Arabidopsis thaliana: one gene and its partners. The protein of the gene in region 1 interacts with the protein of each later gene in a pairwise test. Each region holds a gene or a part of one and is shown on either strand. Other genes may lie near its edges.

Evidence for each region.
Region 2: the proteins of AT2G05330 (region 1) and ASHH1 interact in a two-hybrid assay, tested with the Arabidopsis thaliana proteins (one large-scale study listed by BioGRID).
Region 3: the proteins of AT2G05330 (region 1) and AT5G60140 interact in a two-hybrid assay, tested with the Arabidopsis thaliana proteins (one large-scale study listed by BioGRID).

The regions. Positions count from the first base shown.
Region 1 is NC_003071.7:1,937,932-1,941,190, reverse strand, and holds AT2G05330 (BTB/POZ domain-containing protein), read left to right. Parts: upstream 1-1,720; coding exon 1,721-1,825; exon of another isoform or gene 1,826-1,857; intron 1,858-2,030; coding exon 2,031-2,573; 3' UTR 2,574-2,614; downstream 2,615-3,259. UniProt on the Arabidopsis thaliana protein: May act as a substrate-specific adapter of an E3 ubiquitin-protein ligase complex (CUL3-RBX1-BTB) which mediates the ubiquitination and subsequent proteasomal degradation of target proteins.
Region 2 is NC_003070.9:28,789,083-28,794,697, reverse strand, and holds ASHH1 (SET domain group 26), read left to right. Parts: upstream 1-1,978; 5' UTR 1,979-2,081; exon of another isoform or gene 2,082-2,272; 5' UTR 2,273-2,326; coding exon 2,327-2,347; intron 2,348-2,424; coding exon 2,425-2,489; intron 2,490-2,583; coding exon 2,584-2,740; intron 2,741-2,900; coding exon 2,901-2,987; intron 2,988-3,179; coding exon 3,180-3,264; intron 3,265-3,352; coding exon 3,353-3,446; intron 3,447-3,535; coding exon 3,536-3,734; intron 3,735-3,841; coding exon 3,842-3,876; intron 3,877-3,994; coding exon 3,995-4,811; 3' UTR 4,812-4,978; downstream 4,979-5,615. Other genes in the region: AT1G76720 (eukaryotic translation initiation factor 2 (eIF-2) family protein), read left to right, coding at 1-105, 197-316, 423-554. UniProt on the Arabidopsis thaliana protein: Histone methyltransferase involved in regulation of flowering time. Required for the expression of the SOC1/AGL20 gene. Required for histone H3 trimethylation on 'Lys-4' (H3K4me3) at the SOC1 locus.
Region 3 is NC_003076.8:24,213,274-24,217,184, forward strand, and holds AT5G60140 (AP2/B3-like transcriptional factor family protein), read right to left. Parts: upstream 2,244-3,911; 5' UTR 2,079-2,243; coding exon 2,066-2,078; intron 1,984-2,065; coding exon 1,913-1,983; intron 1,842-1,912; coding exon 1,185-1,841; intron 1,050-1,184; coding exon 804-1,049; 3' UTR 592-803; downstream 1-591. Other genes in the region: AT5G60142 (AP2/B3-like transcriptional factor family protein), read right to left, coding at 2,907-3,152, 3,244-3,335, 3,422-3,911.

The DNA of each region.
Region 1 (3,259 bases):
TAAATTAGTTTTAGAATCGGAATGGTCAATCGGTTTAAATATATCCATGGGGTTACGATTCATATTTAAAATGAAACTATATTTACAAACATCAACAAAGAATCAAAATCACTTACACATCGATTGACCCAAAAGTATATTCAACTTGGACCATTAGCGGAAGCTATTGACATGTAGAACCGATTATAATCAGATCATGTTCTTCAAACTGAAGGAGAATTTTGGTTTCCAATTTGGATAGGAGAGAATTAGTTTCCAATTCATCAGTTAGATAACTTTTTCGAGTATTTGTTATTAATTAATAAATAAAATGATGCAAAGAAATTTAAGAAATAATAATGTTAATATAAAACAAATCTAATTCAAGAAAACCATATAAAATACAAAATAACATTAGAATACATAATCACGGAAACTTTACGACTAATTAACATTAGATTGAAAATTTTAAACTAACTCAGAATATTTTAAATAAAAATATTATTAAAAATAAAAGAAAAAAAGAAATAAGTTTTAGTTACCATGGGACGAGTTTATATGTGAGACAGATTTATATGGTGAGATGAGTTTGGATGAGAGAGATTTTTTGTTTGTCTTTTAAAAAACAACACTATAGTATATCAAAATAAGAGTTAATCTTCTTTCACACCTCTAAATGTTAATCTTCTTTCACACCTCTAAATGTTAATCTTCTTTAACACATCTAAATATATAATTGTAATAAAAAATTATTAAATTACCTATGTTCTAAGGGTAAAATTAAAAAATATAGAAATTTTAAATTATATAATTTAAAATACAAAAATTTGTGAATAAAACATAGGGTATACGGGACATATACTAGAAGATAAAATAATATTAGACTTACTAATATCATAAACTTATGACTTAATAAAAACCGTACACAACTTTATCAAAAATTATTAATCAACACAAACAACAATAGACATTGTACACAACAAATTCTTCATTTTGTAAAAATTTAAAATAAACAAAAAACTTAACCCTTGGTGTACCACGGGTCACATTCTAGATACGTATAAAATTAGGAGATACACACTTTGTATATAGATGCGTATAATATATATGCTTCCGGAACTATACAAAACCATATAGAAACATACTAATATAATCACTAAGTGTAAATAGATATAAACAATGAGTTTTGATAAATTGAATATCTAAGATCATTATTTAAATATAGATGATATTGAATTGAAACATTAAATTAATTCAAAACGAAAATAATCAAGCAGCAGTGTACCGCAGGTCAATATCTAGTTTGTTACATTAGCAGTAAATAGTCATACTTTATTTCATTATCTATAAAAATTGTACCCAAAAACAAATTTAGTTAGAGAAAGCGAGATAAATGGTAATTGTTGGTGTGCATATCAATTGAAGATTTCAGAAATTTTGTGACCCAATTTCAATTTTAATCCGATTCGCCAATGGTATTTTGGATAAATACTTTGAAAGACCAAGGTTTTTTGCCAAATATTCCAGAAAAAAAAACTAATATATATTTGATAGGTCTTATCCATTTCCAAATCTTGAAAATTGGACGCAGATGGGAAATATAAAAAGTCATTTCCAAAGTCTTGAAAATTGGAAGCAGATAGGAAAAGTAAAAAGTTATTTTGACCGTTTTCAATTGTCATTATCTTCTCTATATAATCCACCATCCTTTACAACCTCAAATATACGTTACATTATTGATATGGCAACACAAACCAACCAAGACCATTTCTCTGGGGACTTGCGAAGATCTTGGCAGAAAATTGGCAAGTTGACGTACGGCTCAAGGCAGTGGATAGTGATGATGGTTCAATTATCTCTGCCCAAAAAGTTATTCTGGTCTCTTCTTTTTTCATCTTCTCTTTATTGATATCATCATCTTATTCAAGAATCAATTAAATTTAGAAATGTTAATGTTTAGTGAGTGTTCCTTTTATGTGAAGTTTTTTTTTGTTGGGTTGGTGTGGTTATTGTAATGATTCTCTCAACAAGTATGTTTGGGATTTGAATAGGCATCAAGATCGGCGGTTTTGAAGAAGATGCTAGAATCAGACGAGTTCAAGACTTCGGCTAAGCAGGTGGGAACAATCACTCTCTTAGAGATGAAACAAGAAGAGCTAGAAGCTTTTGTTGAGTTTCTATATAGTGATGGTTCTATGCTTTCTTCGAAAGTGAAGCAACATGCTCGGGCACTCTATCGTGCGGCTGACAAATACGAGATTCTCCGACTACGAGAGCTATGCAGATCTGAGCTTATATCTTCTCTGAATTCGACGAATTCTCTTAACCTTCTTGAGCTCGCACAAATCCCTTTTGACAAAGTCCTCAACGATGCAGCCCTTAGTTATATTAAAACAAATGAACTTATGTTTCCTAGCTTTGATGAGTTCAAGTTGTTCGTTGATAATTACCCAAATCTTGCCGTGGAGGTAATGATGGCTTCTCTTACTCGGACTCCTAGTACAAGCTGTTCTAGGTGTGGTCTCATAACCTATCATAATCAGACTGGTACAAGCTGTTGTAGTTGTGGTTTTGACTATCCTCGTCGCAGCTAGATGAATCACAATGTAGTTTTTGTCGTATCAAATTAATAAACCATTTTTTATCGTTTTTGTTTCCAAAACTTACCAAGTCTCGTATTAAAATGATCGGGTTTTAGATTTATCTTTGTCTAATATTATTACATCTCTTTTCCTATGCATGCAAAAATAAGAAAATATATCGATTGTAAACCCAAGTAAATTGTTCATCTTAAAGATATTAGACTATGGGTACCAGTGCCCTTTGACTAGAAAGCGTTTAGACCATCTCTAATGGTGGTTTTCTAAGGGGCTTTAAATGTATGAGTCCGTAAAAAAAAGCTCAAAATAAATAAAAAATGCCAATATTGTTAATAGACATCCTTAATCTTAGGAATTTTTGGAGTGAAAAAGACTCATATGTGGCTTTTTCTAATTGGTCCGTTTACTGGAGTGAAATGTGTTAACCAACTTAAATATCCAAAAACTCGAAAAACATCCACCGATGTTCTTAACTAGCTAGGCCAATACAACGAATTTTCCCCTATAACGATTTTGATTATTAGAAAAAATATAGTTAAGAAAAATATAAGTAAGTATAAAAAAGGTGATTAATTTCGTTTATAGACATTTCAAAATGATCTATGGTAAAGTTGAATATCTATGAAACGTTCCAAAATTTCCCCTCACTAGTACATTTACAAATGAAACAAAATACAGAA
Region 2 (5,615 bases), on another chromosome or scaffold:
GGTGAGGCAGTCTTCCCATGTGTCCTTCAGATTTTACCTAACTGTGTGTTCAATAAGAGAGACCCAATAATCCTTGGAGTTAAGGTCCACGACGGTATACTTAAGGTATCCTATTCTTACTCTGCTATATTCTCGGTAACTTGCTCACATGTCCAAGGATTCTCAATCCTTTTAACATTCGTCTTGTTTGTTTTAGATCGGAACCCCCATTTGCGTCCCGGGCAGAGAGTTCACAGATATTGGCCGCATTGCCTCTATTGAGAACAACCACAAGCCTGTTGACTATGCAGAGAAGGGCGACGAGGTGGCGATTAAGGTAATAAGGGGATCATTCCCTTCAACAACCTTTGTATAGAGAAAGAGAGAGAGAGACAAAAGTTGTTGAGGTTTCAACTTGATGCTTTTCTCTGGTTGTATAACAGATTGTTGCTTCAAATCGCGAAGAACAGAAGATGTTTGGAAGGCATTTTGACATGGAAGATGAGCTTGTGAGTCACATTTCGAGGAGATCTATCGACATACTCAAAGCTGACTACATGGTAAGTCAAGGATAAGATAAGTTGTTTCCCATCTACGTTTTCTTTGACTCATTATTCTGACCCAAAACAAATGCTCGAAATTAAAACCAATAACAATTGCAGAAAGAAATGTCGACAGAGAAATGGAAGCTCCTATTGAAACTGAAGAGAATCTTCAAGATTCCCTGAACAGTCAAATGTCTACTCTAGAGCTTAAAACACTCGCGGGCCTTGTTGTTACGTCGTGTCTGCTGCATAACGAAGGGATTTATCTTCCTGATTCGTTTTTTTAATAACTATATTAGGCTGAAATTTGTAACCCTGTTAATTAATTTAGCCAATATCAAGAAAACTCTTAATAGGTAATACTGAAATTATATAATCTTATTGAAATTCTAAATTCTCATATAAAGCATGTTATTTCGTTAAAGAGAGTTTGTTACAGACTCTGACTTATATAGAGGCCTCTTGAACCCGGTCTACACACTAAACCTTAATTAGGGTTAACTCAACCGAGCTACAATCATCATATACAGTATATTATTAGTATATATCTTCAAATAATAACCGGGAAGAAAATGTGATGCAAAATTTAAATAATGATGACTAAAGTAGCAAGATGAATTGGTGCACACAAAAAGAAAAGTAGCTAGATGATAAAAAAAAAAAGTTATAGCTAAGCCCAGGCTGTGATTTGCTCTACTATTTTCAAATTATACAAAACTGAAAGCAATACAAAATGGAAAGTAAATGAAGTGGAGACTAGTTTTTTTTTGTTCTTGTTTTTTTCCCAATTTAATCATTTTTATTTACTCACTAAATAAGTAATTAAAAATTAAGGAGAGATGGGTTGGTTATATTATTATATAATATCAACAAATATAAGAATATAATGTAGTTTTTATTACTTAAATTATCGAAATTTGTATAATCTTATTAAAAGTTAAATTATTAAAATTAAGGAGAGATGGGTTGGTTATATTATTATATAAAAATTTGTATAATTTTTGAGGAGCAACCATAGTCCAAGACCCCACCAAGGCTAAAATCACTCCGACGGCGATGGCAATAACTCTTTTTTTATCTACTCCTATAGCCATCGTTAGAGCCATCTCCCTTTACTTCATCTAGCCAAATAACTTATTTTGTGTTTTATGATCATATTTTAAAAAGTTGCATGTACCCATTACAATATAAACACCCAAAAAGTGATACTTCTTATAACTCAATAAATGTATCTAACAAAATTAGAACCTCTTTTTTGATATATTTTTTTCAAAAATATTAATTTAGAATCGTGATACAAGATTTAACACAAAATGTAATCAATGAAACGACATATAGTGTGGTCTCATAGATGTTAGTTACATGATATCTACTTTAATTAAGGTCACGATATTATTAACATGATAATTTTTCTTTTCTTTTTAATTAATTTAGCTTTGTCTATTGTTTTTTCCTAATTTTAAAAAGAAAAAGAAAAGTTGGTTGCATTCTTTTCCTAACGCCGTCTATTGTTCTTCGTCCTCGCTCGTCGTCGCGTTCTCTCTCTCAAACTCTCAGGTAAGCTTCTTCAGTTTCCCACTTTCCCTCTTACACCAATATCCAATTTTGTGTGTTTGCAAATAAATATGTGTTAAGTAATGTGGTTTCGTTTCTAGCTGCAAGTTTCTTCCTTTCCAAAGGTTTGTGTCGATCTTAAAATCCCAGAGTTTGATAAACCTAATTCTCTCCTTCCGTTTTTAATTTTGTAGAAACTTGACCTATACTAGGCCCTGAGTCTGATTGCGAGAATCGCTGACAAAAAAATGCAATTTTCTTGTGATCCTGTAAGTGAAATTGGGTGAGATTTCGATTTGGTTTGTTTTGTTTGTGCGAATTTCGCCAATGATGTTTTTGTGTGAAGGATCAAGAAGGAGATGAGCTGCCACAATATGAACACATTTATCAAAATGACTTCTCTTATCGAAAGTAAGATCCTTTCTTTGATTGCTGGCTCGTGGCTTTCGGTTATCTTCTCAGTATGCGTTGTTGTTAAGTACACATTTGTTTAACGCTTCTATAGGCACAAGAAACAAAAGGAAGAAGATATATCTATCTGCGAATGCAAGTTTGATTTCGGAGACCCTGACAGTGCTTGTGGTGAGAGATGCCTCAATGTCATTACCAACACTGAATGTACTCCTGGTTACTGCCCCTGTGGTGTCTATTGCAAGAATCAGGTTAACAACTTGAAATCTTTGCTTCCACGTTTTCATGTAATTCTAGAATCTAAGATTTGCGTTAAAGCTTGGTGATGTTCTTACAAGTTCCTATTCAAACTAATGATAATTGAGTTAAATGAATGTTAATTAGTAGTTTTACATGCTTTGCCGGTTACAGAAGTTCCAAAAATGTGAATACGCCAAAACAAAGTTGATCAAGTGTGAAGGTCGTGGTTGGGGACTAGTGGCTCTTGAAGAGATAAAGGTGAGGACTCAAAATTTATTCTTGTGTCTTTATCATGTCTGATACTCTTTACCAAGATTTATGACAATTTCCGTCACACTTCGTTGATCTAATGCAAATGGGCAAATAACATGGCTGGTGTATTCTTTTTCTTAAGTAAATAGTCAATTGGGTTTGATTAAATGACTGGTTGTATTTGATGCTATGATTTAGGCGGGGCAATTTATAATGGAGTACTGTGGTGAAGTAATATCATGGAAAGAAGCAAAGAAGAGGGCTCAAACTTATGAAACTCATGGTGAGTAGAAACTTTACAGAGATGATGAGAGTGTTGTAATGCTATAGGTGATGTTAGGTGATGTGTTAATTATGTGTTACATGAGCAGGTGTCAAGGATGCATACATTATATCTCTCAATGCATCTGAGGCTATTGATGCCACTAAGAAGGGAAGCCTTGCTAGGTTTATAAATCATTCATGGTAAAACGAACAACTGGCTTTTTACATGCTTCAAAGAAATTCATATCTATAAAACGTTCCTTATCGTTTCTTTCTCTATTTTCCTGCAGTAGACCAAATTGTGAGACGAGGAAGTGGAATGTACTGGGAGAAGTTAGGGTTGGGATCTTTGCAAAAGAGAGCATCTCTCCCCGGACCGAATTGGCTTACGACTATAATTTTGAATGGTACGGTGGTGCCAAAGTGCGTTGTCTCTGTGGTGCGGTTGCATGCTCTGGATTTCTTGGAGCCAAGTCTCGTGGCTTTCAGGCAAGTCCTTACGTTATCATCCTCATAGTATTATTTGTCAAAAATTGGGAGGAATGAAATTAATCATACTGGTCTATACCTAACCTTATACCTTTCTATCATTTCAGGAGGATACATATGTATGGGAGGATGGTGACGATCGGTAATTTTCTTTTCACTTATTTTATGCGGCATAAAAATGGTCATGGATCTTGCGAGAAAGGAATGTTTTTCATCTTGGACTGGCGATATTTTAGCCCCTCTCTTTTCTTTGTCTCCAGGTATTCAGTTGATAAAATTCCAGTCTATGATTCTGCAGAGGACGAGCTTACATCTGAGCCTTCTAAGAATGGCGAGTCCAACACAAATGAAGAGAAAGAGAAAGATATCTCAACAGAGAACCATTTGGAGTCTACTGCTCTGAATATTCAACAGCAATCAGATTCAACTCCAACTCCTATGGAGGAAGATGTCGTCACGGAGACTGTTAAAACCGAAACATCTGAAGACATGAAGCTGCTCTCACAAAATTCACAAGAAGATTCATCGCCAAAGACTGCAATTGTATCACGGGTTCACGGTAACATTTCCAAGATCAAGTCCGAATCTCTTCCGAAGAAAAGAGGCAGGCCGTTTTCAGGCGGAAAAACAAAGAATGTCGCTCAGAAGCATGTTGACATAGCGAATGTGGTTCAGCTACTAGCAACCAAAGAAGCTCAAGATGAAGTTCTCAAATACGAGGTAAAACAGTTTTTCAAGCGTATAGGTACAAATTCAAAACCTTCTCAGTATCAGATGTGTTTGGTAAATTGTTGCTTGCAGGAGGTGAAGAAGGAAGCAGCAGTACGACTCTCGTCATTGTACGACGAGATAAGGCCGGCGATTGAGGAGCATGAAAGAGATAGCCAAGACAGTGTAGCAACAAGTGTGGCGGAGAAATGGATACAAGCAAGCTGTAATAAACTCAAGGCAGAGTTTGATCTTTACTCTAGTGTAATAAAGAACATCGCTTCCACTCCCATCAAACCACAAGACACAAAGACCAAAGTCGCGGAAGCAGGAAACGAAGACCATATTAAACTCTTGGAAGCCAAATGAGAATTAGCTCGGAAGGACACCTCTAATGGACAAAAAAATATCTTAAGAACTGGAAGCTAACTTGGTTTACTTTTCACGTTTGAAAATGTAATAAATATTTTTAAAATGAGAACATTTTGTTGAAATTTAAAATTTTAGTAATCAAATTTTTATTAATCAATTCTACCAAAAAAATAAAAATTAGTAATCAAAATAATTTAATAAAGACATTTTGAATGATAAAAAAAACTTTTTTAGTTAAAATTTTATATTTATGTAAAACATATTGATCGTAGAACATCGCTTAAGGATTTTATACTATGGGGGGATGTTGTGTCCAATTATTTTACACATATTGAATTTAACACTTAAAAACAAAAATATTATGTATATTTTAAAAATTAAAATATTTTGTGTAAAATATTACTTAAAACATATTGAACGTAGAACACCGTATAAGGACTTCATACTATGGACGGGATGTTGTGTCCAATTATTTTACACATATTAAACTTTAACACTTAAAAACAAAATATTATGTATATCTAAAAAGTTAAAATATTTTGTCTAAAATATTACTTTAAAAATAAAAATAAAAACCTTATATTTTAAATAGTTATAAAAATAATATAAATGTTAAAATTTAATATGTGCAAAACATATTGAACCTAGGACACCACTAAAGGACCTCATACTATGGACGGGATGTTGTGTCCAATTATTTTACACATATTAAACTTTAACAATTAAAACCAAAATATTATGTATATTAAAAAAAAAAATATTTGTCTAAAATATTACTTAAAAAATAAAAATAAAAACCTT
Region 3 (3,911 bases), on another chromosome or scaffold:
AAAAAAACTTTACTAACTACATTTACTTCAATGTAGAGCTGAGATTTGGAACCCTAATTTTAAGATGAGTACAGTTCTTCAAACCCCAGATTTCTCAGATAGTACGGTTTCCGTTGAGTGGCTTTCGACTTTTGTAGCAAAAACTTGAAAACAGAGGTTTCTCTCTGTTTCTATACTTGTTGCTTCAAATGGTAAAACCGTAAAAGACTACTTAGAACGACTTCGTTTTAAAAGAAGATTCGTGAAAGAACCAAGGCCCGCGAAAACCAATGGACCTAAATTATTTTGGTCCCATTCGAGATGGGGTTTTATAGTAGTCAGTGGAAGGCCTAGTGATTTCCTCCAAATCTATTTGCAACATATTGTTTGGTTCTCTTTCTTATTTTGATTTGTAAGTTTGTATACAAAAGTGGTGCCAACAACAAAACACAAACCCAAACCCATTTGTCATTTTACTATAATGTCTTTTGAGATTACTCCAACACAAAGGACGACCTTTGTCCGAACAATGTAAGTACTATTTGTATGAATCCGTTGGAGGACGTTGCCCTACTTACTGCAGGCAACAAAGCAACAAGATTTGTCTAGACGGCATAACTCAAGAGTTTGTTGCAAGAGAAAACAGAGAGATTTAATGAGACATGAACTCTATATAGAAAGTCTTAATTCAACATGAAAACATCTCTCACGCCCAAATCCTTAGTTATAAACCAAATCCTAAGATAGACATTTTACCATTAGTAACATAATAAAAACCACTCACAGCTAAGACACATAAGACTCACAAAAGCTTAGTGAAGAGATCATCCGCTGATAATCTTGACCTTGATGGTGTGAACCAGATTACCTCCAGTCCTCTTAAGCTCGCATATCATTTTGTCAGTCATCTTCATTTTGTTCCTTCTGATGAAACTACCAAATCCCTTGACAAAGATGCAACCATTCTTTTGAATCTTGATTGCTTTCTCCAATGCTCCCATTTCGTCCACGACTGTTATACGCTCCGGGAAGGTTAAGTCATAGTCCCTTATGACATGAGCCGGTATGTGCTGCATCAAGAAACAAACATCATAAAACAGATTGAGATATTCCTTATTAATTTATTCACATAAGAATCCATAACCAAAGATGTTAAATGGAGAGTGTGTAAAGATCTTAAATATTCAGGTTTTTTTTTCTCTTACCAATTGGCTCTTCTTCTTCGGATTGAGTGTCATAGTAAAGTACGGGTTCTCGTGATCATCCAGATACCGCCTTTCGTCATCCTCATCCTCAAGATCATCTTCATCCTCAAGACCATCATCATCCTTAGCATCATAACCATCCTCAGCCTCATCATCATCTTCATCCTCAAGACCATCACTATCCTTAGCATCATAACCATCCTCAGCCTCAACATCTACTTCATCCTCAAGACCATCATCATCCTCAGCAACATTATCATCCTCAACAGAATAATCATTATCAGAATCGTCAGAATCATCACTATTAAGAACGATAACATCATCACTAGCCTGAGATTCTTCTTCACAATCAGATCCCACTTTGATGATGTCCTTGCTTTGCTCTGAACTTCTCTTAAGCCTCTTACACGTAGTCTCATGGTCAAAGATAGAGAAATTAAAAAAATGAGAGCCATCAAACTCAAATGACAAGAGATCTCCACCGTTCAGGTTTTCGTCCCTTACAATCTTCTTCCAACCACTAACCATAACAAATCTCTCAACCTCACCACCACATTTCTTAAACCCTAATTTCCAAATGTTTCCAGAAATGCTTCTAACAGTTACAGTTTTAGGCAAAGACTTTGGTAAACAGCTGTTGAAAGAAATGGGTAGTACCTGAAAAGTTTCTACAAATTTCAAGCAACCAGAAAACAAAAAACAGAGTGAAGAGAAGTGTGTTTTATTACCAGATCATCACCGGATTCACTAGGAAGGTACGGTTTAAAGAACTTTGAAGTAAAACCATTAGAGTAATTTCCTGTTCCAAAATAAGAAAAGGAAGAACATCAATGTACAGAGCACATTACAAGGGAAGAATCAGGAACAGAGAAGTGAAAAACCTCTTGTGTTCATTGTCGTCAACTTCTTGTGCTCTTGGAAATACTCTGAACCCTAATTTTGATCGGAAATAAAAAGGTGAACAAAGTTTCTCCAGATCCAAGTTTTTCCAGATGTGATTTGATCTAAAGGTGTTGGCCTTTTGTAGCAAAAACTTGCAAAAACAGAGGGTTCTCTCTGTTTCGATGCTTTTTCCTTCAAATGGAAAACAAACCATTAATAGTACTCTTCTTATTCAAAAATAATTCGTTAAGCGGACCAAGGTATCGCTAAGGCCCAAACAAAAAACAAGAAATGGGCCTTAAGTTTGGTTCAATCTATATCGTGTAAATGACATTATCGTCCTTAAACAAAAGAACCACAGTAAAGAGTCGAGAAGGGTATATTAGAGAAAGAAGGACTTGTGACATCTCAATTCTTGAACAAGAAACTTGAAACTTGAAAGAAGAATGAGATAGTGTTAAGTGGCAGAGTTCCAAGTATCTTAGTATTATTCTCCTCCTATGCCAATGCTTTTCTTATGATCACATAGAGAGTAATAACATTCTTTTTACATGAACTCGCAGGTTTTAAACAGCCCTGATGTGTGAACCATTCATAATGATTTCTCCCAAAATCTATAGCTCTAGTATACATTATTATTGTAAGACTGTGTTGATCGTCTTTTGCACTTCATGTTTCAGACAAACAAACAAAATCAAGAAGTGTATAGAAAGCATCAACATCGATTATGTTCCGAGAAAACCAATAAGATTCATAAAACCAAGTACTCTACTCATATAAAAACTCTCAAGTAAAAATAGATAATGTCTTGGAGTTAACGCATAAAGCCTTATCAAGAGATCATCCTCTTATAACATGGACCTTGATTTCTCGAACAAGACCATCCATCTCCTTTTCTAACTCACAAATCACCTTGTCATTCAACTTCACATTATTCCTTCTGATTATACTACGGAATCCCTTGATTGTTTGACCCTTAACTTTCCTCTTCAATTTACCAAAGTTTTTCTCGAGTGGATCAATCAAATTGATGAACTCAGGGAAGTGTAAGCCATACTTCGTTATGACCTTAGTTGGTATGCGCAGCTGCATTACAAAGATAACATCATAAAACAGAAGTGGTACATTATTTTAATGAAAATGCAAAAAGACATGAGACTTTCTTCACATTTCTTACCATATTATATTTTATTTGCCGATGCTGGTTCACTGTAAAGAAAGGGTTCATGTGATTATCCAGATATTGTCTGTCATGCTCTCCAGAAGAACCTATCAAAATTTATACGCAAGAAAATAAAAAGACAGTGATGCTCTCAGTCTCAGTTAACTTCACAAGACAAAAGTTTCTATTATACCTTTCTTTTTTTTCTCTGTTTTGACTCCTCTCCATCTTTCTTTCTCAACATCAGCATGATCATCGTCACCATAATCTTGATCATCATCATCATCATCATCATCAATAACTATGATATCTTCACTAGATGTATCTTCCTCAACATAATCTTGAACATCATTAATATCATCATTATCAGCATCATCAAGAGCTGTAATATCTTCACTAGATGTATCTTCCTCATTATAATCTTGAACATCACTAATATCATCATCATCAAGAACTATGAAATTTTCACTAGATTTAACTTCTTCCCCATAATCTTGATCATCATTAAAACCATCATCATTGTCATCAAGAACCGTGATTTGCACTGAACTTCTAAGCCTTTTACACGTTGCACGACCATAGATACAGAAATTGAAACACCAAGAGCCATCAAACTCAAATTCTAAGAACTCTCCACCTTTCAAATCTTCGTCCTTGACTATCTTCTTCCACCCATTAACCAT